Linked DNA regions of Callithrix jacchus. The protein of the gene in region 1 interacts with the protein of each later gene in a pairwise test. Links are inferred from orthologs where the notes say so. Each region holds a gene or a part of one and is shown in the gene's direction. Other genes may lie near its edges.

The links.
Region 2: the proteins of GET3 (region 1) and ASPH interact in binary tests that used the Homo sapiens proteins (3 or more experiments, as listed by UniProt). The two-hybrid records come from large-scale screens. The link is inferred for Callithrix jacchus from reciprocal best matches to the Homo sapiens genes GET3 and ASPH.
Region 3: the proteins of GET3 (region 1) and GET4 interact in binary tests that used the Homo sapiens proteins (3 or more experiments, as listed by UniProt). The link is inferred for Callithrix jacchus from reciprocal best matches to the Homo sapiens genes GET3 and GET4.
Region 4: the proteins of GET3 (region 1) and GPX7 interact in binary tests that used the Homo sapiens proteins (3 or more experiments, as listed by UniProt). The two-hybrid records come from large-scale screens. The link is inferred for Callithrix jacchus from reciprocal best matches to the Homo sapiens genes GET3 and GPX7.

Annotation. Positions count from the first base shown.
Region 1 is NC_133523.1:11,556,403-11,564,370, forward strand, and holds the start of GET3 (ATPase GET3), read left to right. Parts: upstream 1-2,682; 5' UTR 2,683-2,691; coding exon 2,692-2,852; intron 2,853-3,707; coding exon 3,708-3,855; intron 3,856-7,968.
Region 2 is NC_133517.1:17,557,478-17,564,664, reverse strand, and holds part of ASPH (aspartyl/asparaginyl beta-hydroxylase), read left to right. Parts: intron 1-5,169; coding exon 5,170-5,320; 3' UTR 5,321-7,187.
Region 3 is NC_133503.1:58,120,479-58,127,665, reverse strand, and holds the end of GET4 (Golgi to ER traffic protein 4 homolog), read left to right. Parts: intron 1-2,105; coding exon 2,106-2,244; intron 2,245-3,298; coding exon 3,299-3,439; intron 3,440-4,797; coding exon 4,798-4,873; intron 4,874-4,982; coding exon 4,983-5,055; intron 5,056-5,919; coding exon 5,920-6,008; 3' UTR 6,009-6,987; downstream 6,988-7,187. UniProt on the Homo sapiens protein: As part of a cytosolic protein quality control complex, the BAG6/BAT3 complex, maintains misfolded and hydrophobic patches-containing proteins in a soluble state and participates in their proper delivery to the endoplasmic reticulum or alternatively can promote their sorting to the proteasome where they undergo degradation.
Region 4 is NC_133508.1:89,379,842-89,387,468, reverse strand, and holds the start of GPX7 (glutathione peroxidase 7), read left to right. Parts: upstream 1-3,374; 5' UTR 3,375-3,413; coding exon 3,414-3,551; intron 3,552-7,627. UniProt on the Homo sapiens protein: It protects esophageal epithelia from hydrogen peroxide-induced oxidative stress. It suppresses acidic bile acid-induced reactive oxygen species (ROS) and protects against oxidative DNA damage and double-strand breaks.

The DNA of each region.
Region 1 (7,968 bases):
TAGGTCTCGAACTCCTGGCCTCAAGTGATCCTCCCGCCTTGCCCTCCCCTCCCTAAGTATTGGGATTACAGACATTAGCCATTCGGCCCAGTCTGGCGAGGTTTTGTTGTTTGTTTTTTGGAGACAGAGTCACACTCTCACCCAGGCTGGAGTGCAGAGGCGGGATGGTGGCTCACTGCAGCCTCGACCTCCCAGAGCTGAGGTGATCCTCCCACCTCACCCTCCCTAGTAGCTGAGAAAACAGGCATGCGCCACTATTCCTGGCCAATTTTTGTGTGTGGAGATGGGGTTTTGTCATGTTCCCCAGGCTGCTCTCGAACTCCTAGGCTCCAGCAATCCTCTCACCTCAGCCTCTCAAAATGCTAGGATTCCAGGCGTGAGCCACCGAGCCCTGCCTCGCGGGTTTTCAAAATTCAGCAGTACTCGAGCTGGTGTTCCCCAGACAGGGGCTCCCCTAGAATGAGACTGTTGTCTGAGACTGAGGCTGTAGCTTGCTCTCTGGAGTGTAGTTTTACTCGGGGCTAGGAGCAGATTCGCTTTGCAGGGTTAGAATCCCTGTCTGACACCAATAATAATCTCTGTGAGGGGAAGCACCTCATTTGGGGCTGTGTGCTCAGCTGACACCTAGGAACTTGAGTCCCCAACTAGGAATAGAGAGTATTTCTAGCCTGGGCCCCCCACGTAGAAATTGGGGTATCTCTGGGTTGGATACCCATCTCTGGGATAAAGCTTACATTTAATGAGGACATAGCTTGCTCTGTGGAGCTGAGGTCCCTGAGAATCAGCTTTTTTTTTTTGAAACGGAGTCTCACTCTTTCGCCCAGGCTGGAGTACCGTGGTGCCATCTCGGCTCACAGCAACCTCCGCCCCTCACCGGGTTCAAGCGATTCTACTGCCTAAGCCAACCGAGTAGCTGGGATTACAGGCTCGCACCACCAGGCCGGGCTAATTTATTTTTAGTACAGACGGTATTTCACCATGTTGGACAGGCTGGTCCAGAACTCTTGACCTCAGGTGATCCACCACCTCGGCCTCCCAAAGTGCTGGGATTACAGGCATGAGCCCCCGCGCCCGGCCGGATTCTACATACATGTTAACCAGTTTATTTTATGACCTGTAGTATTCAGATGAAGTCGGGGTTATCTCTAGGCCCTAGTCTCTGTCTAAAGTTAAGAGTATTGGCCGGGCGCGGTGGCTCATGCCTGTGAACCCAGCACTTTCGGAGGCCGAGGAGGGCAGATCACGAGGTGAGGAGATCCATCGTGGCCACGGTGAAACCCCGTCTCTACTAAAATACTAAAAATTAGCCGGGTGTGGTGACGCGCGCCCGTAGTCCCAGCTACTCAGGAGGCAGAGGCAGGGGAATCGCTTGAACCCGGGAGACGGAGGTTGCAGTGAGCCGACATCGCGCCACTGCACTCCAGTCTGGCGACAGAGCAAGACTCGGTCTCCAAAAAAAAAAAAAACAAAAAAAAAAAAAAAAAAAAAAAACACTCACTTTGGGAGGCCGATGCTGGTGGATCACGAGGTCAGGATATCGAGACCATCCTGGTCAACTTGGTGAAACCCCGTCTCTACTAAAAATACAAAAAATTAGCTGGGCATGGTGGCGCGTGCCAGCTTCTCAGGAGGCTGAGGCAGGAGAATTGCCTGAACCCAGGAGGCGGAGGTTGTGGTGAGCCGAGATCGCGCCATTGCACTCCAGCCTGGGTAACAAGAGCAAAACTCCGTCTAAAGAAAAAAAAAACCTTTAGAGATGCTTCTGTATTTACCCCTATTTGATAGATGAAGAACTTGAAGCGCAGAAAGGCTAAGTGACTTACCCAAGATCACACAGCGAAAAAAAAAAAAAGTATTATGGGGTGAGATCTTCATCAGGGGCCTGGAACCCAGCTTGTGTTCCTGCTCCAGGACAGAAGTTCGAACGTGAATTATGGTATACTGGAGTCTTCTCTTGAACAGGAGAAATGCAAGGAAGCTTTTAGGAATTAGGGTCCCTTCTGCGAAACTGAGCGCAATTGCAGGCATGGAGCCTGCTCAGCATGGGAGATGAGGGAGTAATGGTTAAGAATGCGGACTTGCACACTCTAAGCCACTATCAGCCCCAGGGATTCATCTCCAGCCGAGTCAACTCTTCTATGATTGGATTGTGGGAGGAACCAAGTGGCTAACAACCAATTGAATAACAGAAGGGGCGGAACCAAAGGGGAGGTTCGGATTCAACGTGAAGAATAGAGGGAAAATGATGGACATAAAATTGAACCTATGGAGTCAGGCCAAGGCGGACCTGGACTCTAACTTCTCCGAAAGGGCAAGGACTGGGTGTTTGGCTGGTTGCTAAGGAGAGGTTGGCGCTACCGGAACGTGAGAGTGATTGGTGAAAGTAAGAAAAGATCTAGCCAATGAAAAGAGCGCCGCAAGATTTATGGCCCAATCAGTGAAGAGGAGTACCCTGGACCGTACTGATGTGCTCATTTGGTAAGGGGAGTCCTTGGAGAAATACAGACCAGAGGTTAACAAAGTGAACCCTGGAAGCAAAGAATAGTGAAAACATAATTTATATTTCTCCTGAAAGGCAAGTCATGAGGAAATTAATTCATGCTTATAGCCTCGATGGGAATGTGCTAGAGGATTTCCCCTGTAGGTGCTTCGCATGGTGTGCTCCGCTTGATCACGTGAGCCAGTTCCAAAATGGCGGCAGGGGTGGCCGGGTGGGGGGTTGAGGCAGAGGAGTTCGAAGACGCGCCTGATGTGGAGCCGCTGGAGCCTACACTTAGCAACATCATCGAGCAGCGCAGCCTGAAGTGGATCTTCGTCGGGGGCAAGGGTGGAGTGGGCAAGACCACCTGCAGGTACGGAGCCTGCTGCGGGAGCCAGGAGCCGGGTAGGGTATGCCACTGGGCGTAGGGGAGGCCAAGTACCGGCTTTTCCACCACGAGCGGGGCAAGGCGGGTGGCGGGGGTCTTTGGTTTCACACTCTAGAAGTTACCTGGAGCAAATGGGAGATAACTCCTCAATGCAGGCCTAGCACCCTCTGAGTTGGACCATCACTGTTGGGGCTCAAGTGCTGAACCACAGTGAACTCAGTGCTCGAGGGACGGGGGAGCACTTAGATATCCCCATCATCTGGACCGTACCTGAGTGAAATCAAAGTTGTGGGTAGGGATTGGACCAAACAATCAATCCTAGTTCGGTGAACCTTGCTGTTTTACGCCCAAGGCGAGAGTGAGGGCGGAAAGGGAGGGAGAGGGCACATGATCAGAGTGTCCCAGGTAGCTGCAGGCAGGAAGTGTCCGTGGGGCAGATTATCCTGGACAAGTGGACTGAACCATCCTGTGCTTAGCAAGGAATGGAAGGGACCCCCCCCCCCTCCAGCTTATTAAGGAAGGTGGCACAGAGTCACGCTATGCTGGCTGGACAGCGGGGCCATACCACTGTGTGCCCAGCAAAGAAGAAGCGGGCACAAGGCCAGATGGACTCAGTCAGCTGAACCTTAACTCTCTAGTCCAGATTGAGGGTTCAGTAGATAAATCAGAGAGGGGTCCTTTTTAGGGATTGAGGCTTAATCCCACGGTAACCCATACTCTTCTCTCAAGGCCCCTGTTGATCCGGGTCACCTGCTTTAAGGAACCTGTCACTCCCCTTGCAGACCCAGGGAACAGAGCCCAACCCCTCATCCCCCATCTTTTGACTTTTCCGTTACCCAGCTGCAGCCTGGCAGTCCAGCTGTCCAAGGGACGTGAGAGTGTTCTGATCATCTCCACAGACCCAGCTCATAACATCTCAGATGCTTTTGACCAGAAGTTCTCAAAGGTGCCTACCAAGGTCAAAGGCTATGACAACCTCTTTGCTATGGTGAGTGGAGCAGGGCTTAGCTCCCACTTCTGGGAAAGACCCTTCCAGCCTTTCTTGTGCACACACATCAGCAGCCACCATGTCCTATCCATTCTGTATCCTGTATCTCTCCTGTTTCACCCCTTCCTCAACATACTCACAAGGGAACGAATGAGGAATTGCGGAGCAGGAAGGACACCAGAGTGCCTGAAGCTTAGAGAGCCAGGGTAGGGGAAGGAGAAGTTGGAAAGACCAATCAGAGCCACATGGTGTGGGACCTTACAGTGCACGGTAAGCAGTTGGGCGTTGACTCCAGGTTTAATGGGAAGTTGTTTGTTTTAAGCAGGGCAGTGTCATGGCCAAATTCATGTTTGAAAAGTACCCTCTGACAGCTAAGTGGAGATTCAGTTGTCAAGGAAAGTAATGAGGTTGGGGCTGTAACCAGTTGAGAGATGACAGCATCCTGGACTGTGGTGGGACAGAATGTTGGGGGAGAAGCAGTCAGATTTGGGAATTCATTTACTTATTTTTTTTAGACAGTCAAGACTCCTCTGTTGCCCAAGCTGGAGTGCAGTGGTGCAACCTCAGCTCATTGCAACCCCTGCCTCCCAGGTTCGAGCAATTCTTCTGCCTCAGCCTCCCCAGTAGCTGCCATTACAGGCATGTGCCACCATGCCCTGTTAATTTTGTATTTTTCATAGAGACAGGGTTTCACCGTGTTGGCCAGACTGGTCTCCAACTCCTGACCTCAAGTGATCTGACTGCCTTGGCTTCCCACAGTGCTGGGGTTGCAGGAATGAGCCGCATCGCACCAGGGACTTATTTAACAGAAGTAAATTAGTGAGATTACTTGGTCGGAATGGGTGAGAAAAATAAATGAACTAGTTACATGTTTTTATTTTCTGAGCAGCTAGGATGCGGAAAACTAGTAAAGGAGTAGGTTTAGAAGGGACAAGTCAAGAATGTCATTTAGTCCGCAGCGAATCTGAGGTGCCCACTGAAAATCCAAGTGGAAACATCATGACAGTAGCTTGTTTACGTGAGTCTGGAGCTCAGAGGAGATTGTTACTGATTTGGAAGTCACTGACCCAAAGGTAGCATTTAAAGCTGTGTGAAGGCTGGACCTGGTGGCTCACACCTGTAATCCCAGCACTTTGAGAGGCCAAGGTGGGCAGATCACTTGAGGTCAGGAGTTCAAGACCAGCCTGGCCAACGTGAAACCCTGTCTCTACTAAAAATACAACAAAATTAGGCAGGCCTGGTGATGCATGCCTGTAATCCCAGCTACTCGAAAGGCTGAGGCAGGAAAATCACTTGAACCTGGGAGGCAGAGGTTGCAGTGAGCCGAGATCGTGCTATTGCACTCCAGCCTAGGCAACAGAACGAGACTCTGTCTCAAAAATTAAAAAAAGACACAGAGTCTTTTGACATTAAAAAAAAGACACAGCCATGTTGCCCAGGGTGGTCTCGAATTCTTGGGCTGGAGAAGTAATCCTCCTGCCTCAGCCTCAAGTGTAAGGTACTGCATCCAGCCTCAGACAGCTTTTCTTTTCTTTTTTTTTTGAGATTGAGTCAGTGCACTGTAAGCAGTTGGGCATTGACTCCAGGTTTAATGGGAAGTTGTTTTAATCAGGGCAATGTCATAGCCTACCAAACTGCTGGGATTACAGGCGTGAGCCACCGCACCCAGCCTATTATTTATTAATTTTTTTTTTTGAGACAGACTCTTACTCTGTCGCCCAGGCTGGAGTACAGTGGCTGAGTCTCTATTCATTACAACCTCCACTTCCCGAGTTCAAGTGATTCTCCTGCTTCAGCCTCTCGAGTAGCTGTGATTACTACCACCATGCCTGACTCATTTTTGTATTTTTAGTAGAGATGGTGTTTTGCCACCTTGGTCAAACCGATCTCAAACTCCTGACCTCAAGTGATCCACCTGTTTGGCCTCCCAAAGTGCTGGGATTACAAATATAAGCCACTGTGCCTGGCCTGCAAAACCCTGTCATTACAAAACAATTTCAAAAAATTAGGTGAGTGTGGCCAGGTGCAGTGGCTCACGTCTGTAATCCCAGGCCACTGTGCCTGGCCATAAACACTTCTTAAGGTAGCAGGGGGAACCAGAATTATCCAGTTCATCAAGTGCCCATTGGAAATTTGTGTTCAGAAAAGGGGAGCAAGGGCCAGGCACAGTGGCTCACACCTGTAATCCCTTTGGGAGGCCAAGGCAGGTGGATCAAAAGGTCAGGAGATTAAGATCAGCCTGGCCAAGATGGTTAAACCCTGTCTCTACTAGAAATACAAAAATTAGGCTGGGTGTGGTGGATCACAAAGTCAGGAGTTTGAGAACTTGCCAACAGAGTGAAACCCTGTCTCTACTAAAATCACAAAAAATTAGCCAGGCATGGTGGCAGGCACCTGTAATCCCAACCACTCAGGAGGCTGAGGCAGGAGAATCACTTGAACCTGGGAGGTGGAGGTTAAGCCAAGATCGTGCCACTGCACTCCAGACAGGGCAACAGTGTCAGGCTTCGTCTCACAAAAGAAAAAAAAAAAACAGCCGGGCACGGTGGCGGGCGCCTGTAGTCCCAGCTACTTGGGAGGCTGAGGTAGGAAGATTGCTTGAGCCCAGGAGTTCTGGACTGTAGTGCGCTATGCTGACTGGGTGTCCACACTGTTTGGCATCAGTATGGTGACCTCTTGGGAGCGGGGGACCACCAGGTTGCCTAAGGAGGGGTGAACCAGCCCAGGTTGGAAATGGAGCAGGTCAAAACTCCTGTGCTGATCAGTAGTGGGATCGCGCCTGTGAACTGCACTCCAGCCTAGGCAACATAGCAAGACCCCATCTCTAAAAGAAGAAATACAAAAATTAGCCAGGCGTGGTGGGCACTTGTAATCCCAGTTACTCGGGAGGCTGAGACAGAGAATTGCTTGAACCCGGGAGGCAGAGGTTGTAGGGAGTCTACATTGTGCCACTGCACCCCAGCTGCACAACTGAGTGAGACTCCATCTCAAGAAAAAAAAACAAGGACGGAAAAAAAAAGTAAGATGGGAATAGTCTTTAAGAGAGTGTTCAGGCCCTCGAGTGCAGTGATGAAAGAGCTGGAAAGCCACACCTGTAATTTAGTGCTTGGGGAGACTGAGACAGGAGGATCACTTGAGGCCAGGAGTTCAAGGCCTCATTGCCAGCCTGGGCAACAAAGAGAGACCCTTTATGTACAAAATACAAACAAACAAAATTAGCTGGACGTGGTGGTATATGCCTGTAGTCCCAATTAGTTGGGAGGTTGAGGCAGGAGGATCACTTGAGCCTAGAAGTTTGAGGCTTCGATGAGCTATGAATGAGACACTATCTCTTTTTTTTTTGAGACAGAGTCTCACTCTGTCTCCCAGGCTGGAGTGCAGTAGTATGATCTCCGCTTACTGCAACCTCCACATCTCGGGTATAAGCGACTCTCCTGACTCAGCCTCCCAAGGAGCTGGGACTACAGGCGGGTGTCACCACACTCAGCTAATTTTTTTGTATATTTAGTAGAGACAGGGTTTCACTTGTTAGCCAGGATGGTCTCGATCTCCTGACCTTGTGATCCACTCACCTTGGCCTCCCAAAGTGCTGGGATTACAGGTGTGAGCCACCATGCTAGGCCTGAATTTTTTTTTTGTAGAGATGGGGTTTTACCATAGTGGCCAGGCTGGTCTTGAACTCCTGACCTTAAGTGATCTGCCCGCCTTGGCCTCCTAATGTGCTGGGATTACCAGTGTGAGCCACCTCGCCCCGCCAAGTTGCTATCTCTTAAAGAAAAACAAAACAAAACTGGAAGCAACCAGGGTGGGGAATTTTGCCAATAGCAGGGAGAAAGGGAGTGTTTGCAGAGGTAACCTATGGAGGCTGGGCTGGACACGGGTGCCAGTCAAGAGGGGCACTGACAGCTTACAAGGGGCCAGGTGAGGGGATAAAGTGGTCCAAGAGGCTTAGAATAACTGAGGCATGAGAGGAGGTTAAGGTTAGAGAGTGGGTACTAGGACGTGGTGAGGAGTGGGCAAGCTCCCCAACAGGAAATGACCCCTGAGGCCAGCGAGTTGGGTGCTTCCCCATGGGAAATCACCAGCAAGTGGTGACACAAGAAGGATAAAGAG
Region 2 (7,187 bases), on another chromosome or scaffold:
AGAGAAGAGGAAGGATGACAATACAGTTTTACCTTTTGCTTACATTGTGTGCCATGCCAGGGCTTTCAGTGGAGTCCAAACTGGTGAATTTCGAGTAAGAGCTATGTCAGCTATTCCTTAGCTCTTTGATCCTTTTCTGTTTTCCACTCAGCCCGCATGCCTTGCAGTCCACCTCAGCATATCATCTACAAATGCTAAGAATGTCTCCCAGGACCATGGTCTTAACCCAGTGTGTTGGACTGTAAGGACTTTCTGCTTCTGCCACAAAATCACCGTGTCACTGCAGACATCTGAACCTGTTTCCATGTGATTCCTTTGTGTGAAAATCACAATCATGTCCTTTGCCAATCTCAGAACATTTTAGCAAAGATAGCTAAGATATTTTCTATAACATTTGTAAGTGGAAGATTCTATAAGCACCTAGCATCATTACTTAGCCTTACTAATATCACTGGTAATTCTGTGGCCAAATTATAGTTATTAATGTGCACGGTCACCATTTTATCATTATCATTAATTATGATTATAATTTGAGAGGTTGACAGATTATATAATACTGTTTTATCATGTGACCAGATATTTGTTACATCTTTTGACAACCCAGAGAGAGGGTTTCTTCTCAGGGGTAAGAGATTCTAACAGTAGGCCAGGAACAGTGGCTCATGCCTATAATCCCACACCTTGAAAGGCCAAGGCAGGAGAATTGTTTGAGCCCAGGAGTTGGAGAGCAGCCCAGGCAACATGGCAAAACCCCATCTCTACAAAAAATCCAAAAATAAACTGGACATCTTGGTGCATGCCTGTAGTCCTAGGTACTTGGGAGGCTGAGGTGGGAGGATCACCTGAGCCTGGAAAACAGAGGCTGCAATGAGCTGTGATGTTCCCACCACACTCAAGCCTGGTGACGGAGCAGATCCTGTGTTGAAAAAAAGGAAGGGTTGGTGGCGTGGAGAGAAAGAGAGAGAGGAAGGGAAGCAGGAAGTTCCAGCTGTGAGCCAAGGTTGCTGCCTAGGGATAGAAAGCATTGCCCATCCCCAATCTCTACATCTCTGAGTCCTTGGACAAAGGCCGTAGCAGTACTTCCAGGAAGACCTCTGTCACAGGCCACTCTGAAGATCGTTTCTCCAAAGGACTGATTCAGTGTCATAATTCCAGTGTTACCTAATCTTATTTTATGGAGATTTGCTCACAAAGCAAGTAGCCTGAAAACTAGTTCTTTGCATTCTAATGAGAGTCATTGGTTTTCATTCAGAAGCAATTTAAAGACCTTTCACATCTTTATGCTCCTCTCTCTTTGTTGTGGGAAAAAACACTCATTCTTTCCCAAGCAAGTGAACATCTCTGGTTTAACCTGGAGTCACTTAAGTCTGGACATGGCTTGGATGAGGCTTTATTGTTCTTCCATTTTCCCCTTTTAGGTGAATTGTGACTGCACTTTAGTCATACTATCTCTAATAACTGATTGAAAGGCACCAATTTTTTAAGAATTCAGAAGAAATCTACATTAAAGAATTTATATTATGTAATTGATTATCTTTGCTATTTGCTGGGGAAATGTATGAAAGAAAGTGGAAGGGCAAATATAAGTCTAACAGTACCCACTTTCCCCTTGGTTTTGTGACCCTAAAACAGGCCAGTTAACACTCTTTGGGTTACCTCTCCAAATTTCTCGTTTATAAAATTGGTTAATTAATGGTTTACATTAATCTGTATTTGACTTGATGTATCTGGAAAGCCACAAGCCTGTGGCTCTTAAGTTCTACTCCTATATGCATGAGTGACCAGTGTGCTCTGGTGCTAATAACTTTTCCCAGTTCACAGGGAATTTAAGTTAGTGAATGGAATGCTTAAGGCCTTTCTCTCATAAAACATTTCTAGATCTTTGGCTTTGCTATACCTATGATAATCTAGTAAAAAATGTCTTTTGGATGTGCTAGAATTTTCTCTTCCATTATTTTAATTGCTTCTAGTATTTTAAGTAGTTTCCAGGTTCTCTGCCACCCAAAAAACTTTGAAAATCACTTGTCATTGCTGTACAAAGTGTATTTCACAGATTCTCTGAAGATGTTTTTATATCTCATCTCCCTTGGAAGTTTTTAGTTGTCTCAGAGGAAGGCAGATTTCATACAGAGTGATGCCAGGGTCATTTTTGGGAACATACTACTTCTCAACATTTCACCTCTGTCTTTTATCTTTTCCCTATTTGTCTTTATTTTTTCATTCCTTCTCTGTTTTATATTCTCTGTCATTAATTGAATATCTACTAGGTGCCAACCATATGCTAATCCTCCCATCAGCTATGCAGATGAAGATACAAAGACTCAATTACACTAAGTGACTCACCTCAGGTCCCATAAGTAATAAATGCCAGGGTCAAGAGGCTTCCCCTCAAAGACCATAAATTCCCATCTTGCTGTATTGCTTCTCTCTTTCTCTTCTATCACATGCTCTCCTTTTCCTTTCTCTTTTTTCTCTAATTAATTATAGTAAAATACACATAATAAAATTTACCACATTATCCATTTTTAGGTGTGCAGTTTAGTGACATTACATATATCCATGTTGTATAACCACCACTACAGTCTATCCTCAGAACTTTTTTTAACTTGCAAAACTGAAACCATACTCATTAAATGATAATTCCCATTCCCTTCCTCACACCAGCCGCTGGCAACTACTCTTCTCTGAGTTCCATGAATTTGACTACTACTCTAGGACCTCAGATGTGTAGAATCAAATAGAAATTGTCTTTTTGAGTCTGGCTCATTTTACTTGGCATAATGTCCTCAGAGTTCATACATGTTGTAGCATGCATAAAAATTTCCTTCCTTTTTAAGGCTGAATTAATATTCCATTGTATGTGTACACATTTTTTTGTTCATTCATCGATAGACACATGGGTGGCTCACACCTTCTGGCTGTTGTGAATAACACTGCTGCTGTGAACATGGGTGCACTGCCTTTCTTTTTGAGTACAGTTCCTCCCTCATCTTCTGCATAAATTTTAGGCTTGTCTGTGGTACTCACTGACATTGCTAATCCCAGTGACAACACTAAGACCTGGAAAATGTCCACCTAACTATAGAAGCTGTGGACTGTTTCACTGATTCTTCTTGTCAATGTATTTACCACCCTTAGTTCTACCTTTCTTCTCAATTTGGGTTTTGCATGGTAATGAATGCATGCCTGTCATTTGCTCCTGAGTCCACAGATTTCTGCCTTTTGCCACCCTTGGATGGAACTCCAATGGAACTCTCTAATCCTCTAGGGGAGTTGTAAAAGAGCCAATCAACATGTGTGTGTGGAATGCAAGACATGAGGCAAGGGGTATTAGTCTGTTTTCATGCTGCTGATAAAGACATCCCTGAGACTGGGAAGAAAAAGAGGTTTAATTACACTTACAGTTCCACATGGCTGGGGAGGACTCAGAATCATGGCAGGAGGCTAAAAGCACTTCTTACATGGTGGCAGCAAGGGAATAAGGAGGATGCAAAAGTGAAAATTCCTGATCAAACCATCAGAACTCATGATGCTTATTCACTATGATGAGAACAGAATGGGGGAAGCCATCCTGCCCCGCCATGATTCAAATGAACTCCCATAGATAGGGTCCCTCCCACAACATGTGGGAATTATGGGAGTACAATTCAAGATGAGATTTCGGTGGGGACCCATCCAAACCATATCATGAAGCATGTGAGACAGCACAGTGGGTGGAGGCAGGAGGGTGGGTAGTAGAAGTAGAGGTTTAGTTCCCAACTTCAGTGAACTTTAAACTTGCAAACACTCATTATTTTATCTGTTAGTTTAGGTAGCTTGGAAATTTTATTGTCAGATTTATTCAGTGTGTCAGTTATTTTCCACTGAAATGATTTTGCCCCTGCCCTTACCCTGGCCATTTGTCAATGAGTAGAGATGTTTTGTTTGTCACAACTATGGCAAAAACTGCAATTACTTTTGCACCAGCCTAATAGTATAAAAGGGATGCTACTGCCTCACAGTGGTTGGAGGTCAGAGATGCTGCTAAATATCTTCTAGTGCATGGAACAGCCCCTACAACAAAGAGTGACCCGGCCTAGATGTCAGTAGTACCAAGTTGTGGAGCCCTGCAGTATATCTAGTATTGCTCAGTTTATATTGGTTAGTCACCTAATATGGAACATAAAAAGTCACCCTTAATTTTCTCAAGGAAAACATCTTTATGATAATACAGTAACTTGAAATCAAGCTAGCATTTCCCATGCTATAATTGTCATTATTTGCTAATCCAGGATATAAAATTTTCAGTGCTTAAGTGGAGTGTTAGTATCTAAAGAAAATTTTCTAGCAAAAAAAATTATTTTAAAAACATAACTTGGTATTTAATATATTGGCAATTAATATCTATTTTTTTAAAAAACCATCGGTGTAGCTCACAAACTCTCTTTGGATTTGAAAAGCCTTGTGTGACTGCCTCCTGTATGTTTCTCTCTTAATAGACTAACACTATATTTAGATTTTAGTCCTTATACAGATATCTTATGAGGTAATGTTGGAAGCTCTATAGGGTATTTTGCCACATTGATTTAAAATATTCCATGGATAACCCACTTGCATAGAAGATGATACTAAAAATATAAACAAAATTCATTCCCAATCTGCCCATTTTCTTCAGCCGGAATACTAGCTAGGAAACTCCTAATTTAGTTTTCTCCTTTATGGATATTGTGTTTAAGTAGATTTCTTTCTTCTATAAAATGAAATTTGAACAAGTGGAGTGAGCTGCAAACACAGTTGATTGGAGATGTGCAGACCCCCTGTCAGGTGTCCTGAGAGGCATAGCCCGAGGCCAGTCACTGCCCAGGTGTCTAAACCAGAATAATTGCAAGACATGTAATAATATACAAAGTAACTGAAGGGCATGTAATAAAACCAGTATGTCTTCATCACCAATCCCCTGTCGTTTGTACGTCTCCAGTGCTGAGCAATGAAAACTGATGTTCATAATGAGATTTCTGAAATTCTTTCCTAATCATCAAGGGAAGAATAAATTTGGGCTTGATGTTCTAGTTATTTGGTTATGTCTCAAAGGTTGTTACCAAAGGTACTTCTTGCACATGTATAGGAGTTGATCCTCAGGCACCTAACCACACAAAGCTTTATTCAGGAATCCTTGTCTTTCTGTTGCAGGACCTGGGAAGAAGGCAAGGTACTCATCTTTGATGACTCTTTTGAGCACGAGGTATGGCAGGACGCCTCATCTTTCCGGCTGATATTCATTGTGGATGTGTGGCATCCGGAACTGACACCACAGCAGAGACGCAGCCTTCCCGCAATTTAGCAGGAATTCATGCAAGTTTGGGATGCTCTGGAGAGAGGCTGCCTTTCTGGTTCCATCTCCTTGGGTGTAAGGATAGAATTTTGAACACTAAGACTCTTAATTCCCTCGATTTGCAGCCTGAATAATTCTAAGCCTCCTCCTAGGGTTAGAAGACACTAAAGGGAATATTTGCCTCACTGCAATTCATTTAGAAAACACCCTGCTGGGTGTCATCCATTGACAGCTCTGGTCTTCTGCCAGTATTTAAGGTGAGCATTTGATAGCTTCTACCTTACCAGCCAAAGAGATTTTTCCCACATAGAATAGGTCTAAATCAGTGTATAATGAGAATATATGTAGAAACTGTGAATGGATTGCTTTAGTTTATAATTTTTCTATACAGTTATATTTTTATAGTGTAGCTAGACCATTTTGTCATCATGTACCACTACATTTTTGTTAATTTTAATGACAAGCTGTATAAATGCTTTACTTCTAGGTGTTTAATGATAGCATTACTGGGGAACTCTGACTTCCCTCTTTTAATTCTTCTTAGTAAAAGACACTCATGAAAAAAGCAGTTTTATTTTCCTAATACAAAAAAGAAAGAAGTCATGGTGCCAGTGTCTAAGAACTATACCCATCCTAACTCTCAAGTTGTTTGGTTTTTTAAATCTTGATTCAGATCCTCCTCTCACTACGCCGGTGATGGAAATATTATCAAAATCGTATTTCTTTCAAAGAGGAACTTTTCACACTGAAAAAAGACCATGGGATTATTTTATATTGTTATAAAAATCCCACATGCAAATTTTTTAAATGCCAAGTATTAGAGGTTCTGGGGAAAAGTACAGTTTATGAAAATAAAAATATGTTGTTTCAGGGTCAGGTGCACAGGTGACTGATAGGAAGTCTGGCTCTTGGCTGCTTTGTCATCCATGAAGCATGTCCTGGGACACAGTTTCTTTGCCTACGGTAGATCCATGTGAATGACAGGAAGCCAGCTGTTCGGTCTTGAAGATGATTTCCACCACAATCCTGTAGCAGTATTAAGGATGGCAGAGTAAAAGGTCACCAAGAATGCCGGGATCTTTGTCCTGGGTGTAGAAGATCCAGATTGCTTTCCTTTTTGATGAAAAAGCCTTAAAGACTGTCCCATTTCCCTGACTTGAGAAACTTCTGCCGTTTTAAACATCACCGTGAAATAACTATTATTATCATCTATATTTAGTTTCAACGTTACTCACAACATAGAAATAACAGTTGAAAATGGTCTTGCCTAGTCATTCCAAAGATGATCAAGTCATTAATTTAGTAAAGTATTAATGCATCAGATTTTGTATTTTTTAAATCAAAGCTAACTAGAAATGTTAGATATAAGAATGTAATGATATTCATGCACTGAATTCTAAGCCCATATGAACAAGAATGCTGCAGGAATGGCACAGAAATCAATAGATTTCATTCATAGGTAGAAAAGCACTTGTACTTCCTTTTCTATCTAAAAACAAAAGTAGACTATCTAATTTAAAGAACAGTTCTTTGAAATTGAAATTGACCCTTTTTGCTTAACCTTAAGAACATTAGCTTCCAGTAGATGAATTTGCAAAATACTTTTCCTGTTCTTCTGTTTTGCTGGTGTTGATAAACCTCACTGAATCAGATGAAGAGGCATAGGAGGGAAAATATCCAAATTAATTACTAAAATTGAGAAGAGAAGGCAAACTCTTGAAAAGTAAATGGTATTTGTGTCCTTCAGTATTTATTGAACAGAGGAAATAATTGGCAAGGGCAATACAATTCAGTGCTCATGTAGCAACATTCGTCTCACTTATTAAATTTGGTTCTCATATGTATATTGTGTACACATAAAGAAATTCAAACTATA
Region 3 (7,187 bases), on another chromosome or scaffold:
CCAGCACGCCTCCACACGAACATGGCTGCAGGCAACCCTACTCAGTCCTGCGTGGTGAGCCGCTGCTCTGTGTGGGCCCCGATGCCAGGTTGGGGAGTGAGGAGCTGTCCCCTTACCTACCTGGGAGTGTCGCCTGCCTTTGGGATGAATTAGGGACAATTGCGTCAACAGTGTGGCTGCCCTCGCTACTCCTTTGCATGGGCCCTGTGGGCAGAACCAGGCAGTGAGTGAGTGGATAGGGTGGGTGGCACCCATGCTCAGTGTCCAGGAGACCTGCATGGCAGCTCCTAAGACAGGCACAAGCAATAGTAAGGAGGGACATATGTGTCTGTTAGGATCCCTGCCCACCATGGGGTAGGTAGGGGCTGTCTGGGGCACGTGTGGGAGGGCTGTGCTCAGCGCCTCTGCCGAGATCCCCCCTGAAGAGGAGCCCTGGCTGCCTCCCACTGGGGTGGGTGCAGGCCCAGGTCCCCGACACCATGACGGTGCTGTGGGGCATTGCCAGACCTCACCCTGGGAGCCCAGGCCTTGTCCACGCTGAGGTGGCTGCTTATGGCCTCTGCTGTCCTGAACACAGACTCCTTGCAGGACCTGTGGGCTCGACCTTCCTTGGTACTTTTCTCCTGGGGAAGAAATAACGCCCACAGGTAAAGGCTTGGGGATGCAGGGAGACAACAGGAGAGAAAGCAAAGTGACGGTGATGCTGGCAGCCACACAGGCAGCAGGAGGGGCCTGGAGGCTGCTGTCGGTAAAGGGCGCCATAGGTGGAAGGGGTGGGGCATGCTGGCAGCCACACAGGCAGCAGGAGGGGCCTGGAGGCTGCTGTCGGTAAAGGGCGCCATAGGTGGAAGGGGTGGGGCCTGGAGTGTGCTGCAGAGATGTGCACCGTGGGAAGGGCGGGGCTCCCGAGGCAGGAGAGGGGCCTAGAGTGTGCTGCAGAGATGTATACTGTGGGAAGGGCGGGGCTCCCTAGGCAGAGGAGGGGCCTGGAGTGTGCTGTGGAGTTGTGTACCACGGGAAGGGCGGGGCTCCCGAGGCAGGTGAGGGGCCTGGGAGTGAGTGTGAGCTGGTGTTAGGGTGGGCCTGGGAGTGGAGTGAGTGTGAGGAGGTGTTAGGATGGGCCTGGGAGTAGAGTGTGAGCAGGTGTTAGGGTGGGGCCTGGGAGTGGAGTGTGAGTAGGTATTAGGGTGGGCCTGGGAGTGGAGTAGAGTGTGAGCAGGTGTTAGGGTGGGCCTGGGAGTAGAGTGTGAGCAGGTGTTAGGGTGGGGCCTGGGAGTGGAGTGTGAGTAGGTATTAGGGTGGGCCTGGGAGTGGAGTAGAGTGTGAGCAGGTGTTAGGGTGGGCCTGGGAGTGGAGTGAGTAGGAGCAGGTGTTAGGGTTGGCCTCAGAGTGGAGTGAGTGTGACCAGGTGTTAGGGTGGGCCTGGGAGTGGAGTGAGTGTGAGCAGGTGTTAGGGTGGGCTAGGGAGTGGAGTGTGAGCACGTGTTAGAATGGGGCCTGGAAGTGGAGTGTGAGCAGGTGTTAGGGTGGACCTGGGAGTGGAGTGTGAGCAGGTGTTAGGATGGGGCCTGGGAGTGGAGTGAGTGTGAGCAGGTGTTAAGGTGGGGCCGGGGAGTGGAGTGAGTGTGTATGAGATGGTGTGGGTTGAGATGGTCATTGGATCAGTGTGGTGTGAAGATCAGGCTGCTTTTTGCTGTTCATGTAGATTCTAAGTGCACTGGCCTGGGCTCTGATTACGTTGCTCCCTGTACGTTTCCTCTGGTAGGTGAGAAGGGTTACACGGTGACACTCTGTCATTGCTCATCACTATGTGCACGTTAATGTGGTTGGATTTGACAGCTCTGGGAGCTTGGAGAAAGAAGGTGCTGTGTGGCTGCGTGGCTGCTTGGCTGCGTGGCTTTCGCTCTTCGCTGTTTTTGTTATTTGGTGGTGTGTGGGGTGTGGACTGGCTGAGTCCCTGTGGTGGCACCTCTGCCTACGGGGCTCTCCATGGGCTCTTCTCATGGGCAGGTGGGATAGAATTAACATGGATGCATCTTTCCCCATCTCCTGTGCTATATTATATTCATGAAGCATATTTGAGTTTTTCTGTCTTTTCTTTGCAGAACAAAACTATTGTGAGTCACGGTATCATTTTCTGCACTCAGCGGACGGGGAGGGCTGTGCCAACATGCTGGTGGAGTACTCCACATCCCGGGGCTTCCGCAGCGAGGTGGACATGTTTGTGGCCCAGGCCGTGCTACAGTAGGTGTCGGATGGCTCTACGGGTTCTGGCTTCCCTTGCTGCCTTGTCCCCGGCCCGAGCCGTGGTGCAGCGTAAACTGAGTTCACTCCGGGCAGAACCTGCAGTGCACGTGTCAGCCAGAGTGACTCATGAATTTTAATAAGTTTTATGAAGTTTAAGAAGTATTTTGGAATCTCCCCCTTTTCTGCGGTGCACCTCTCACCTGCTGCCGGGAGGCCCTGTAACCTCTGCTCTATTCCGGCCGGCCTCAGCCTGTGAACTGTGGGAATGCACTCCCAGTTCTTAGAATTGTCAGTGAGTCATCTACCCTGCAGCCCTCCCGCCAGCACACTGGGGCATCCTGCAGGCTGAGCTTGGGCACTCGCTTCCTTTCTCATGAAAGCCTTATGTGTGCCCAAGTCCATTTCTTCCACAAAACAAATGTGAATTTCTAGGCGGGCGTTGGGGTAGGACTGGCTTTGTGGATTTGATGTGGGATTTGGGGACAGTCATCCTCTGACCTCAGTGCTGCCCACTGCTGAGCTCTCCCAGGAGGGCGTCCGTGACTTAAATGAAAAGCTGGGTCAAACCCAGAGCTCACTGGCTCTGCACTGCGTAGATGTGTTCTCTGGATTGATGGTAGCCCGCCCCTGGGCCACTGAGCCCTCTCTGTAGGCCCTCCTCAAACTGGAGCCAGGGTCTGCGTAGCACCCGCCAGCTGCTGGGCTGTGGCCAAGTGTTCTGGTGTGGGCCATCATCTGATGGGTGCGGGCAACGGGGGAGAGAAGAGCTCACTCAGTGCATTATTCAGATGGGGCTCAAGCTGGGTTCTGGCTCCGGAGCCTTATGACCTTCTCAAGCTTCATTCTCTTCACCTATAAATTGCTGGCCTCCCCAGGATCCCCTGCTTGTGAGAGCGACACGCATGAAGCACTGGGTCCCTCCATGCTGGGGGCTGTGAGACCCGTGGGTGTGTGAGCTTGGGAAGGACCAGGGCATGTCAGAGGCTGGTGCCTGCGCGGGTGGAAAATGTGTCCTCCAGCCTTTCCTCCACCAGCATGTTCTCATTTCCAGGTTTCTGTGTTTAAAAAACAAAAGTAGTGCATCTGTGGTCTTCACGACGTACACCCAGAAGCACCCGTCCATCGAGGATGGGCCTCCGTTCGTGGAGCCGCTGCTCAACTTCATCTGGTTCCTGCTGCTGGCTGTGGATGGGTGCGTCTCAGTATTCTGGGGGTGTACGTTGTATGTCGATGTGGTGGCGTGGGTAGCTGGGGGGGTGTGTGCACGCAGGTGTTGGGTGTCAATGTGATGAGTGCAGATGTTGATGTGTGGGGGTGGGTGGGTATAGCTGTGGCATGGGTAGTTGTGTGGGGGGTGTGTGTTGTAGACTTGGTGGTGTAGGTAGCTGTGGGTGTGTGTAGGTGTGTTGGTTGTAACATGGTGTAGGTAGCTGTGTGGGTGTGTGTAGGTGTGCTGGTTGTAGACATGGCGTAGGTAGCTGTGTGGGTTGGTGTGAGTGTGCTGGTTGTAGACGTGGTGTAGGTAGCTGTGTGGGTGTGTGTAGGTGTGCTGGTTGTAGACATGGCATAGGTAGCTGAGTGGGTGTAGGTATGCTGGTTGTAGACATGGCGTAGGTAGCAGCGGTTGGGTGTATATGTGCTGGTTGTAGACATGGCATAGGTAGCTGAGTGGGTGTAGGTATGCTGGTTGTAGACATGGCGTAGGTAGATGTGTGTTGGTTGTAGACATGGCATAGGTAGCTGTGTGGGTGTAGGTATGCTGGTTGTAGACATGGCGTAGGTAGCTGTGTGGGTGTGTAGCTGTGTTGGTTGTAGACATGGCATAGGTAGCTGTGTGGGTGTAGGTGCGCTGGTTGTAGACATGGCATAGGTAGCTGAGTGGGTGTAGGTATGCTGGTTGTAGACATGGTGTAGGTAGCTGTGGGTGTGTAGCTGTGTTGGTTGTAGACATGGCATAGGTAGCTGTGGGTGTGTGTAGGTGTGTTGGTTGTAGACGCGTAGGTAGCTGTGGGTGTATAGGTGTGTTGGTTGTAGACGTGGAGTAGGTAGCTGTGGTTGTGTGTAGGTGTGCTGGTTGTAGACATGGCGTAGGTAGCTGTGTGGGTGTGTGTAGGTGTGCTGGTTGTAGACTTGGTGTAGGTAGCTGGGTGTGTGTAGGTGTGTTGGTTATAGACATGGCAGTGTAGGTAGCTGTGGGTATGTGCAGATGAGTGTTTTAGGTATAGACTTGGTGGCATGGGTTGCTGTGTGGGTGTTGGTTGTAGGCGTGGCATGGGTAACTGTGTGGGTGTGTCCAGATGAGTGTTGGGTGTAGGCATGGTAGCATGTGCAGGGGTGTGTGTGCAGGTGCGTGTTGCCATCTTCTATGGGTGTAGGCGCAGTGGTGTTACAGGTGTGTGTGTGGGTGTTGGGTGTAGACGCAGTGGTGGTGTAGGTGTGTATGTGTAGGTAAGTGTTGGGTGTAGATGTGGCAATGTGTGTAGGTGTGTGCGCAGGTGTGTGTGGCCCTCTCCTGCTCCCCCAGCATCTCCCTATGTCCCTGTGTCCCAGCGGAAAGCTGACGGTGTTCACCGTGTTATGTGAGCAGTACCAGCCATCCCTCCGGCGGGACCCGATGTACAACGAGGTGAGGGCTGGGACTGGAATGGGGAGGGGCCCTCAAGGCTGCACTGCCCTAGCTGGGACCCCACAGCCTGGGTCCGCCCTCTCCTGAACCTGCTGCCCATGCCTTGCAGTACCTCGACCGCATAGGACAGCTGTTCTTCGGTGTCCCGCCCAAGCAGACATCTTCCTACGGAGGCCTGCTCGGTAAGCTGAGGTGCCCTCGCCACTCCCACTGCAACCCTGGGTCAGTGTGGGGTCCTCTGCAGTCCTTCACGTAGCAGTGGTTCTTTGCTCTTTTCAATGTTTCTCAGTTTCCTTTTGTTAGTAGGAAATTATATTTCAGAGTTGAATCCTAGCTCAGTGCCTCCCAGCCCCGTCTCTGCTCCAGAGCTCCCCGCCCCTGAGGTTTCTCACACTTCCTGGTAGGGGTCGATTTGTGGGGCTGGCTGTGTGCTCAGAGAAACATCTGACTTGTCCGGTTTCCAGCAGTTTGGTTTCCGGAGACTTTTGAACTCTGGCTTTGTATGTACAGAGTGGTTGTTCATTGGATGAAAATCAGGTGACAGTGACCACAGTTGGCCCCTGTGAGCAGCCGTTGAAGGCTTGGCTCATCCAGTTTATTAGTAGGTCGCTGTAAGGGTGTGTGGCACATGTGCTCTACGGCAGCACTTCTCTGTTGAAAAGTATACATGAGGTCGTGTTAGTAGCTCTCTAGGGCCCTCCGTGGCTTCTGTTGGAGGATGTGGAGGGCATCTCTGTAGGCCCACATCGCCACTCCACAGCCCCATTGGTGGATGTGGAAGGTGGTTCTATGGACTCTCCCCCTTCCTGTGGCTGCTCCGTGGACATGGAGGGTGGTTCTGTGGATACCCCCATGGCTTCTCCATGTTTGAGTATTTCTTTGTGGTCATCGGTTCCCTGTCCTCGGGTTCACGGGCCACATACAGTAGTGTTGTGAGACTTTTTACATGTCGCTTGGGATGCCTGTTGAGGCATCTGTGGGAGGAGGGGTTCGGGGGCCGGCAGGAGGCTGCCTAGGCCTGACCGCCATGCTGTCCTTCCTTCCAGGGAACCTTCTGAGCAGCCTTATGGGCTCCTCAGAGCAGGAGGAGGGGGAGGAGAGCCCCAGCGACGGCAGCCCCATCGAGCTGGACTGAATTGGCCGGGCCACGTGGAGACACCATGGTCAACGGCGGCTCGAGGGACATTTCGGAGGCGAGTCCTGGGTGGCTCCTGGCCCCAGGGGCTCCTGGCCTTGAGGCTGGCAGTGGCCGCGTGCTGGCGCGTGTCTGTTTGTGGCACGTCTGGTTTGTGCGGCGGCTCAGGGTGGCGCGGCTGCCGGTTGCTATGCTGCTGGGACCCAAGAGTGGGGCTTTGCCCCTGCTGGCCGCCGCGTCCCCCGAGATTGACCCACAATAAAGCACAGGCCTTACGCGGCGTCCCCTCTCCCACTCCTTTGTTCTGGGTCCTTTCGGGGGGGCTGAGGGGCAGCACAGGAGGCCCGTCCTCAGGGACCTGGCACATCACTCTCCTTGCTTGGCGTCCAGAGCAGCTGTTGTCGCCAAAGCAAGTGCTGGCCCTCACACGTGAGAACCCAGCTGGGCCCTGCGTGGTCTGCAGATGCGTGCGGCTGTTTCTGAACACAGGTCACTCTGCAGTCACAGCGAACTGGTCCCCATCGCAGACGGAGCGCATGTGCCCTGCACCACATCCTCACACTCGGTGAAGGGACGGCCCACGTGGCATCCCGTAGCTGCATCCTGCTGGTCTCTGTGAGAGCCATGCTGCTGTGCTGGAAATTCCGCTTTAAAAAGGGATACCATGGGACTCTGCCCATCTCTTTCATAATGCAATATTTATTTGTATTGGGTGATTGATTCCTTTGACCTAACGTTTTAGGTTTTAACCAAATAACCAGTCCAGGAGTGAGCAGCTCTGTTCTTGATGCTTTTCCAGATGTTGCCAGAACAATGACAAAAGGGGAGACGCTCTATTTTTTCATGATTCAATGACAGTTGTAGATTGATATGTAGTTGTGCATGGAAACGGGAAACTCACAGCTTTATTTACTGTAAAGCGGAATTTGAGGAAGGCTTGTGTGAACCGTTGCGCATAAATAAACCCTTTCTACCGGGCTGTGCGACGCCATTCCTTTCTCGGGCACCCACCGTGGGTGTGGGGGCCTCTGCACTCGGCTGTGCCTGGGAGCCCCCAGAGAAGGCATGCCCTGTGGCCAGACTGCCCGTGTGTGGACAAGAGCGGAGGTCCATCAGGAAGCCTCATGTTCACTCGGCTGTGATTTTAGAAGTATAGTTGTGTAATTTCATTGAAATTCA
Region 4 (7,627 bases), on another chromosome or scaffold:
CTGAGTGTGTCATCTGTTTTCTACTGAGGCCCTGACTGATAAAACCTGGAAGCCCTATAGGAATTTGCTGTAAGCACAAGGAAGGGAAAACAATATATGCAGGGGGAGCAGCATGAGGAACGGTAAAGAGGCATGGAAATGTGATTTTGTTTGTTTAATTTCCTTTATTGGTTGAAGGTTAAATTGCTAAATCCCATATTCAGGTCTCAGCCTTAATCTTCCTAGATTTATCAACAGGATTTTACTAGTTAATCACTCTCTTCATCCTGGAACAAATTCATCAGTTGGCCTCCAAGACATCACATTGTTTTGGGTTTTTTGGTCCTTCTGGTTACTCTTTTTCAGTGTCCTTTTTCTGGCTCCCTTGTGTCTTCATCTCCTTGGTGCTCAATGATGGAGTTCCAAGGGCTGTCCTTGATTCTCCTTTCTCTCTATTACAACTCACCATTATCATCCAGTACCACGGCTTTAAATACCCAGGCTGGAGTGCAATGGCGCGATCCTGGTTCACTGCAACCTCTGCCTCCCAGGTTCAAGCAATTCTCCTGCCTCAGCCTCTTGAGTAGCTGGGATTACAGGCGTGTGCCATCATGACCAGCTAATTTTTCTATTTTTAGTAGAGACAGGGTTTCACCAAGTTGGCAAGGCTGGTCTCAAATGCCTGACCTCAGGTGATCTGCCCGCCTTGGCCTCTCAAAGTGCTGGGATTACAGGCGAGCCACCACGCCCGGCCTTATTTTTATTTATTTATTGAGACAGAGTCTTGCTCTGTTGTCAGGCTGGAGTGCAGTGGCATGATCTCGGCTCACTGCAACCTCCGCCTCCTGGATTCAAGTGATTCTCCTGCCTCTGCTTCCTGAGTAGCTGGGATTACAGGCACGTACCACCATGCCCAGCTAAGTTTTGTATATTTAGCAGAGATGGGTTTCACCATGTTGGCCAGGCTGGTCTTGAACTCCTGACCTTGTGATCCACCTGCCTCGGCCTCCCAAAGTGCTGGGATTACAGGCGTGAGCCACTGTGCCCAGCCATTTTTAAATTTTTTTAAGAGACAGTTCTTGTTATGTTACCCAGGCTGGTCTTGAACTCTTGGTCTCAAGCAATCCTCCTGCCTTGGCTTCCCAAGGGACTGGGATTTCAGGTGTGAGCCACCAGGCCCAGTTGAAAGAGATTTTTCTACAACATAAGACTCACTGTGATACTTCCCTGCTAAAAAGTACCTTTATGTCTTGGTTTAAAGACCACAATCTTCACTGTGGCCTGCTAGGCTCTGTGTGATCTCATTCCTCTCTGCCTCTCCACCTTCCCCTCTCATCCTTTGTCCTCTCTGTTCCAACCAAACGAGCCTTCTTTGTTACTCAGTGCACCATGTTCCTCTCCCCTTCAGAAACTTTGCACTTGTACTTTGCTTCGTCCTGGCCAATTTCTACTCATTCTTCAGAGCTCCCTTTTTCTGGAAAGCCCTTCTTGGCCCTCCAGGTTAGGTTGGGTGGTACTAACCACAATAGTAATTTTAGAGCTATTTATAAATTATTTAATTCCTGTGTCTCCCTGAATAGGGACTATGCCCGTCCTGTTCATCCCTGCATTAAGAGACACCTAAAATAAAACTTGGCATAGAACAGGTGGTCAAGAAGTGTTTGTTGAATGACCACAAGAGTGCTTAGCCCTTACCACATTACATGAAATCTGCAGTTTACCTAGTTTCTCTCATATCAGCCTGTGAGATTCTGGAAAACTAGTACAGGATCCAGCCCCATGCTTGACACTGCACGGGCTCAGCAGGGGTGTTCTGAGCAGGGGAGATATGTGCTGCCCAGATCCCCCATCACTGAGGACTTAGGACAGGCACTGGCTACCATGAGTGCTGTCAGCACAAAAAATGTTTCTCCATAGACAGGGCCATCTTGGCCCTTGTCTCACCCCTTGCAGGTAGCCCCACATCCAAAGACTGGTAAAGGCAGGGTATAAAGACCTGACCATTGGCCAGGCGGTGTCTCACGCCTGTAATCCCAGCACTTTGGGAGGCCAAGGAGGGTAGATCACAAGGTCAGGAGATCAAGACCATCCTGGCCAACATGGTAAAACCCTATCTCTACTAAAAATACAAAAATTAGCTGGGCTTGGTGGTGAGCACCTGTAATCCCAGCTACTCAGGAGGCTGAGGCAGGAGAATCGCTTGAACCCGGGGAGGCAGAGCTTGTAGCAAGCCGAGATTGTGCCACTGCACTCCAGCCTGGCCACAGAGCAAGACTCTGTCTCAAAAAGAACCACAGCTGGGCATGGTGGCTCACACCTGTACCCAGCACTTTGGGAGGCCAAGGCGGGCAAATCACGAGGTCAAGAGATCGAGACCATCCCGGCCAACATAGTGAAACCGTGTCTCCACTAAAATACGAAAACTAGCTGGACGTGGTGGCGCGCACCTGTAGTCCCAGCTACTCGGGAGGCTGAGGCAGGAGAATTGCTTGAACCCGGGAGGTGGATGTTGCAGTGAGCCGAGATCACACCGCTGCACTCCAGCCTGGCGCCTGGCAACAAAGCAAGACTCTGTCTTAAAAAAACAAACAAACAAACAAAAACAAACACCAAAAAACAAAAACAAATAAACAAAAAAGACTTGACCATCTTAGCTCAACTGATGGACCACTCTAGCCCCAGAGTCCCTGTAGCGTCAGCTAAGACTGTCTTGGGGCCTGCATGGAGCTCACTACTTTCCCCTTTTGCCACTCCTGTTCCCTCCCTTCCTTCCCATGTGCATTCCCATGCGTATTGCCCCCTCATCAACATCCTACACTCCAATCTCCATCTCAGAACCTGCTTCCTGAGGACCTAACCTTCAACAGGCCTTCAGTCCTCTCTTCCCCTTCTCTCAGCCATCATTTTCAGGGAACATTCATTCATTCACCTGAAGTTTGGAGGCACCATTCAACTGTTAAAGTGTTTCGTATCCGTTTTTCTATTACTTCTATCCTATACTGATTAGGTGGATCAGGAAGGGAGATTAGCCCCACTAAACGTGGAGAAATTGAGGCCGGACTGATGGCGTGACCAGACCAGCCTAAGGCCGCTGCACGAATGAAAAGCTGAGCTCTCAGACAGATTTTTGTCTCCCTGTCCCTGCCAAGTCTCTGCATCCTGGGACAAGAGGGAGGCTCACTGAAACGAACTCTGGTCTCAGGGGACAGAATCCTGAAACCCTGGCTCTGAGGTCCGGTACAGGAGGGCGCTGCCCCAGGACAGACGGGGAAACTGAGGCCCAGAGCCAATCATCCACCGCCTGCGGAGAACGAGAAGGAGGTGCGTCCTGCCTCGCGGGCCGAGCGGCGCCGTTGCTGCCTCCTCCCACCCCTCGCGCAGGGTCTGCCCGCCCCGTCTTAGCCCTCGCGACGTCGCCACCCCGGGAGCGAGCCATGGTGGTGGTGGCGACGGTGGCGGCGTGGCTGCTCCTGTGGGCCGCGGCCTGCGCGCAGCGGGAGCAAGACTTCTACGACTTCAAGGCGGTCAACATCCGGGGCAAACTGGTGTCGCTGGAGAAGTACCGCGGCTCGGTGAGTGCGCGGGGTCTGGCGGCGTCGCGCGGCCCAGCCTCACCCTGGTGGGGCCTGCGGGGCGTGGAGGGGGGGGGGTTACAGCCCGGACCCCTGAGCCGGGTGGCTCCGAGGCCGCCCCGGCCGCGCGGCCGCCAGACCCCGGCCCCCGCCCCACTCAGCTGTGACCCCCGGCACGGCGCTCCCATCCCGCGCCCGGCCCGCCCCGCGGCTACGTGGCACGGCCCTGGCGCGGAGGAACCCGAAACGCTCGCAGTCCTAGCCCACTTCGCTACGGGCACTTTTGGGCAGCGGAGTCCACACCTTCGCCGGGAGGCCGGGTACCACTGCCCAGCCTTTGCCACTCACGGGTGGAAAAAGTAACTGTAGCATCTTACGGCCTTGCTCTCTGCCGTCCCCACTTTCCGCATCTGGAACGGGGAGTGGCTGATTCGGAGTCCGGTGAGGAACACTGTGGAGATGGATGTGCAGGGCAGAAGGAGTCATTTCAAATGCACGGAGACCTCAGGCGGATCATCCTTGGGAGAGGGCACAAAGGCCAGGAGAGGGCACAAAGGCCCGGAGAGGGCAGGCATTCGCAGGAGGTCACACTACACCAGAAAGACGGAGCCTGGAAGAGAACTCCACCGCCACTGCCCTCCATCCGGAGTCCTCTCCAGGCCAAGTCCTTACTTAGATGGCAGCTGAGAGGGAGAGATTGAAGAGTCATCTAGGCTAATTGACCCCTCCTTACCAAGAGGGAATCTAAGTTCAGAGAGGATTTCGGAGAGGAAGGGTGTCTGGGTTGAGTCTTTGAACACAAGTGGATTTTACCCAGACTAATAAGCAAACAGCAAGAAGGGTGGGGAGTGGTGAGGCCAGGAGTTTCAGCTGTTGTGCTTGAAAGAGTCTAAAGCTGGAGGCTAAGAGTGGCGGAAGATGAGGCTGAAAAGGTTAGCAAGGGACCAGGCAGGACCTTGAACGCTACACTGAGAGGCCTGCATGTCACATTATGTGCAGTGAAGAACTCCCAGAGTGGGCCTCCTCAGGATGGACCTGGGGACTCGGGTGAGATGGCTGGGGAGTTGCACTCTAATGAACAGGTGGGCCAGCATCCAGTTTTGGATGAACCACACAAAAATGGATGTCAGCATTCTCCTGGGAGCAACACCATCTTTAGTGAAGGCAGTACTATATAAACCTTGAAATTTTCGATTATGCTGGGAGTGCTGGGGGCAGTAATCCCTGTCCTGACTGTCCCCCACAGTGTCATGAGTTTCAAATAAGCTAACAGTGTAGGTACACTTAGTAAACTGTAGAGTGCTTTGCATCTGTGTTTGGTGGATCCCAGCAGGAACCTCATTCAGAACTCAGGGAAAAGAACCAAGAACAGAGCCAGTTTCAATTCAGGCCTCCCATTCTCTCTAGGGAAACTCACCAGAGAGCCCCAGGTAGTCAAGCAGAGCACCTACTGTATACTAAGCAGATACTAGGCCAGGCCCTGGGGATACATTGGTGAATAAAACAGATACATTTCCACTTTAATGGAGCTTACATGGGGTCAGGAGAAGAGACAATAAATAAGAACTGAGAAATGCACAAGGTAATTCCCAGTGGTAATAAGGGTTAAGACAAAAATAGAACAAGGTCACACAGCTAGTAAGAGAATTAGAATATGAACCCAGACAGTCCAGCTCCAGCGTCTATGCCCTTAGTTGCCAAGTTCAGCGGTAAACCAGGGAACCGTAAATCCAGAGAAGCTGTAACTGGTGCTGAGTTAACCCAAGCTAGGCCTGCTGCTAGGGCAATATGCTCCTTCCTTCACTGGCAGACATTTCCTGGCTCCTACTATATGTCTGACACTGGGTCCAGATTTAGTGACATAGCCATGGGCAAGATTGACATGGTTGATGCCTTCAGGCTAATTGAGACCATAGTCATTTAGATCAGTATGGATGAATGAGTGACCATTTCGGAATGTGTGGGGTTATGCATGTACTGGTAGGCCTAAGTGTAGAGAGAGTGTGTGTGTGTGTGTGTGTGTGTGTGTGTTTGTGAATAGTTTGTTTCTTCTGTGTACAAATTTGAGTCTGTCTGTGCTTGTATATGTATATATGAAAATTAACTGTGTGTACTTGGGTGATTCTGTCTGTGTTTTGGATTCTAAGGACCAAGATTTTTGGTTTCAGGGATGGACCTAGAAGCCAGATTTTCCCCCGTCTAAAGATATGGGCAGATATGCAAGGTGTGAGTTAAAAATAAGCAAGCTTTGGCCAGGCATGGTGGCTCACACCTGTAATCCCAGCATTTTGGGAGGCCGAGGCAGGCAGATCACAAGGTCAGGAGTTTGAGATCAGCCTGGCCAACATGGTGAACACCCGTCTCTACTAAAAATATACAAAAATTAGCCAGGCATGGTGGCATGTGCACCTGTAATCCCAGCTACTCAGGAGGCCAAGGCAGGAGAGGCAGAGGTTGCAGTGAGCCAAGATCGCGCCACTGTACTCCAGCCTGGGTGACAGAGCAAGACTCCATCTCAAAAAATAAAAGCAAGCTTTAATTTTCTCATTGCCCAGGGATCCAGCAGGGGGGAAAAAGGAAGGAAAAAAAGAAGGAAGAGACTTATGAGTCCTAGTTTCTCACCATTCCAGGCAGAGTATGGTGTATGCTGACCTCAGACTGAGGAGGTTGTTCTAATTGCCAGTGGCCCCAGGCCCATGCCTGATCCTTTCTCACCTGGCGGAGGTAGGGTGCCAATGTACAGCTCAGTGGTTCAGTCATCTAGCCCAGTGGTTCTCAGCTAGGGGTGATTTTTCCCTTTAGGGCACAATTGGCAATGCCTGGAGACATTTTTGATTGTCAAGACTAGGCATCTGGGCCGGGCACGGTGGCTCAAGCCTGTAATCCCAGCACTTTGGGAGGCCAAGGCGGGTGGATCACGAGGCCGAGAGATTGAGACCAACCTGGTCAACATGGTGAAACCCCGTCTCTACTAAAAATACAAAAAATTAGCTGGGCATGGTGGCGCATGCCTGTAATCCCAGCTACTCAGGAGGCTGAGGCAGGAGAATTGCCTGAACCCAGGAGGCAGAGGTTGTGGTGAGCCGAGATAGTGCCATTGCACTCCAGCCTGGGTAACGAGCAAAACTCGGTCTCAAAAAAAAAAAAAAAAAAAGACTAGGCCTCTAGTGGGTAGAGGCTAGGGGTGCTGCCAAACATCTGACAATGAATAAATAGGACATCCCCCGAACAACAAAGAATTACCTGACCCAAATGTCAGTAGTGGTTTGGATGAGAAAGGAAGATAGGACTAGGCTGCCCGGCACAGGGGAAGGTTTAAAATCCTTTAATAATATATAGCAAGAAGCTGAAAACATAGCATCGGAGCCAAAATTCTAATTGCAGTATTATAATCAAGTTCCATTAGCCAGCTTTATATTTATTGCCTAAAGGCTTTAATAAATTTAGGAATTAGTCTAGTGATCAAAGAAAGTGGTAGGCTAGACATGGTGGTTCATAACTGTAATCCTAGTACTTTGGGAGGCTGAATTGATAGGATTGCCTGAGGGCAAGAGTTTGAGTCCAGCCTGGGCAACATGGAGAGACCTGTCTCTACCAAAAGTAAAAATTTAAAAATTAGCCAGGTGTGATGCACGTGCCTGTAGTCCTAGCTATTTGGGAGGATGAGGCGGGAGGATCACTTTAGCTCAGGAGCTTGAGACTGCAAACTGTTGGGGGGATGTCCTGTTATGATCATGCCATTGCTCCAGCTAGAGACCTTGTCTCAAAAAAACAAAAAAAGTGGTATTGATTCACTGGAGAGGAAGGGGACAAAAAGGGATTGCCCTGGGGTTTCAAGGGTTCTTTTCTCAAGAAAACCTGTCTATGTTCCCATGCAGGTGTTTGTGTTTATGTGCACACTTACTCATTCAGCTGACACTGAAAACTTTTCCATATGCCAGGCCCAGAGATGAAGTGGACATAGCTCCTTCCCTCCATAGGGTCACATTCTAGAAGGGAGACTGACACATATATAGGCAACCACAATGCTAAGTGGCGAGTGCTAGCTGACTGAGCCAAAAATTGAGCCCAGGTCT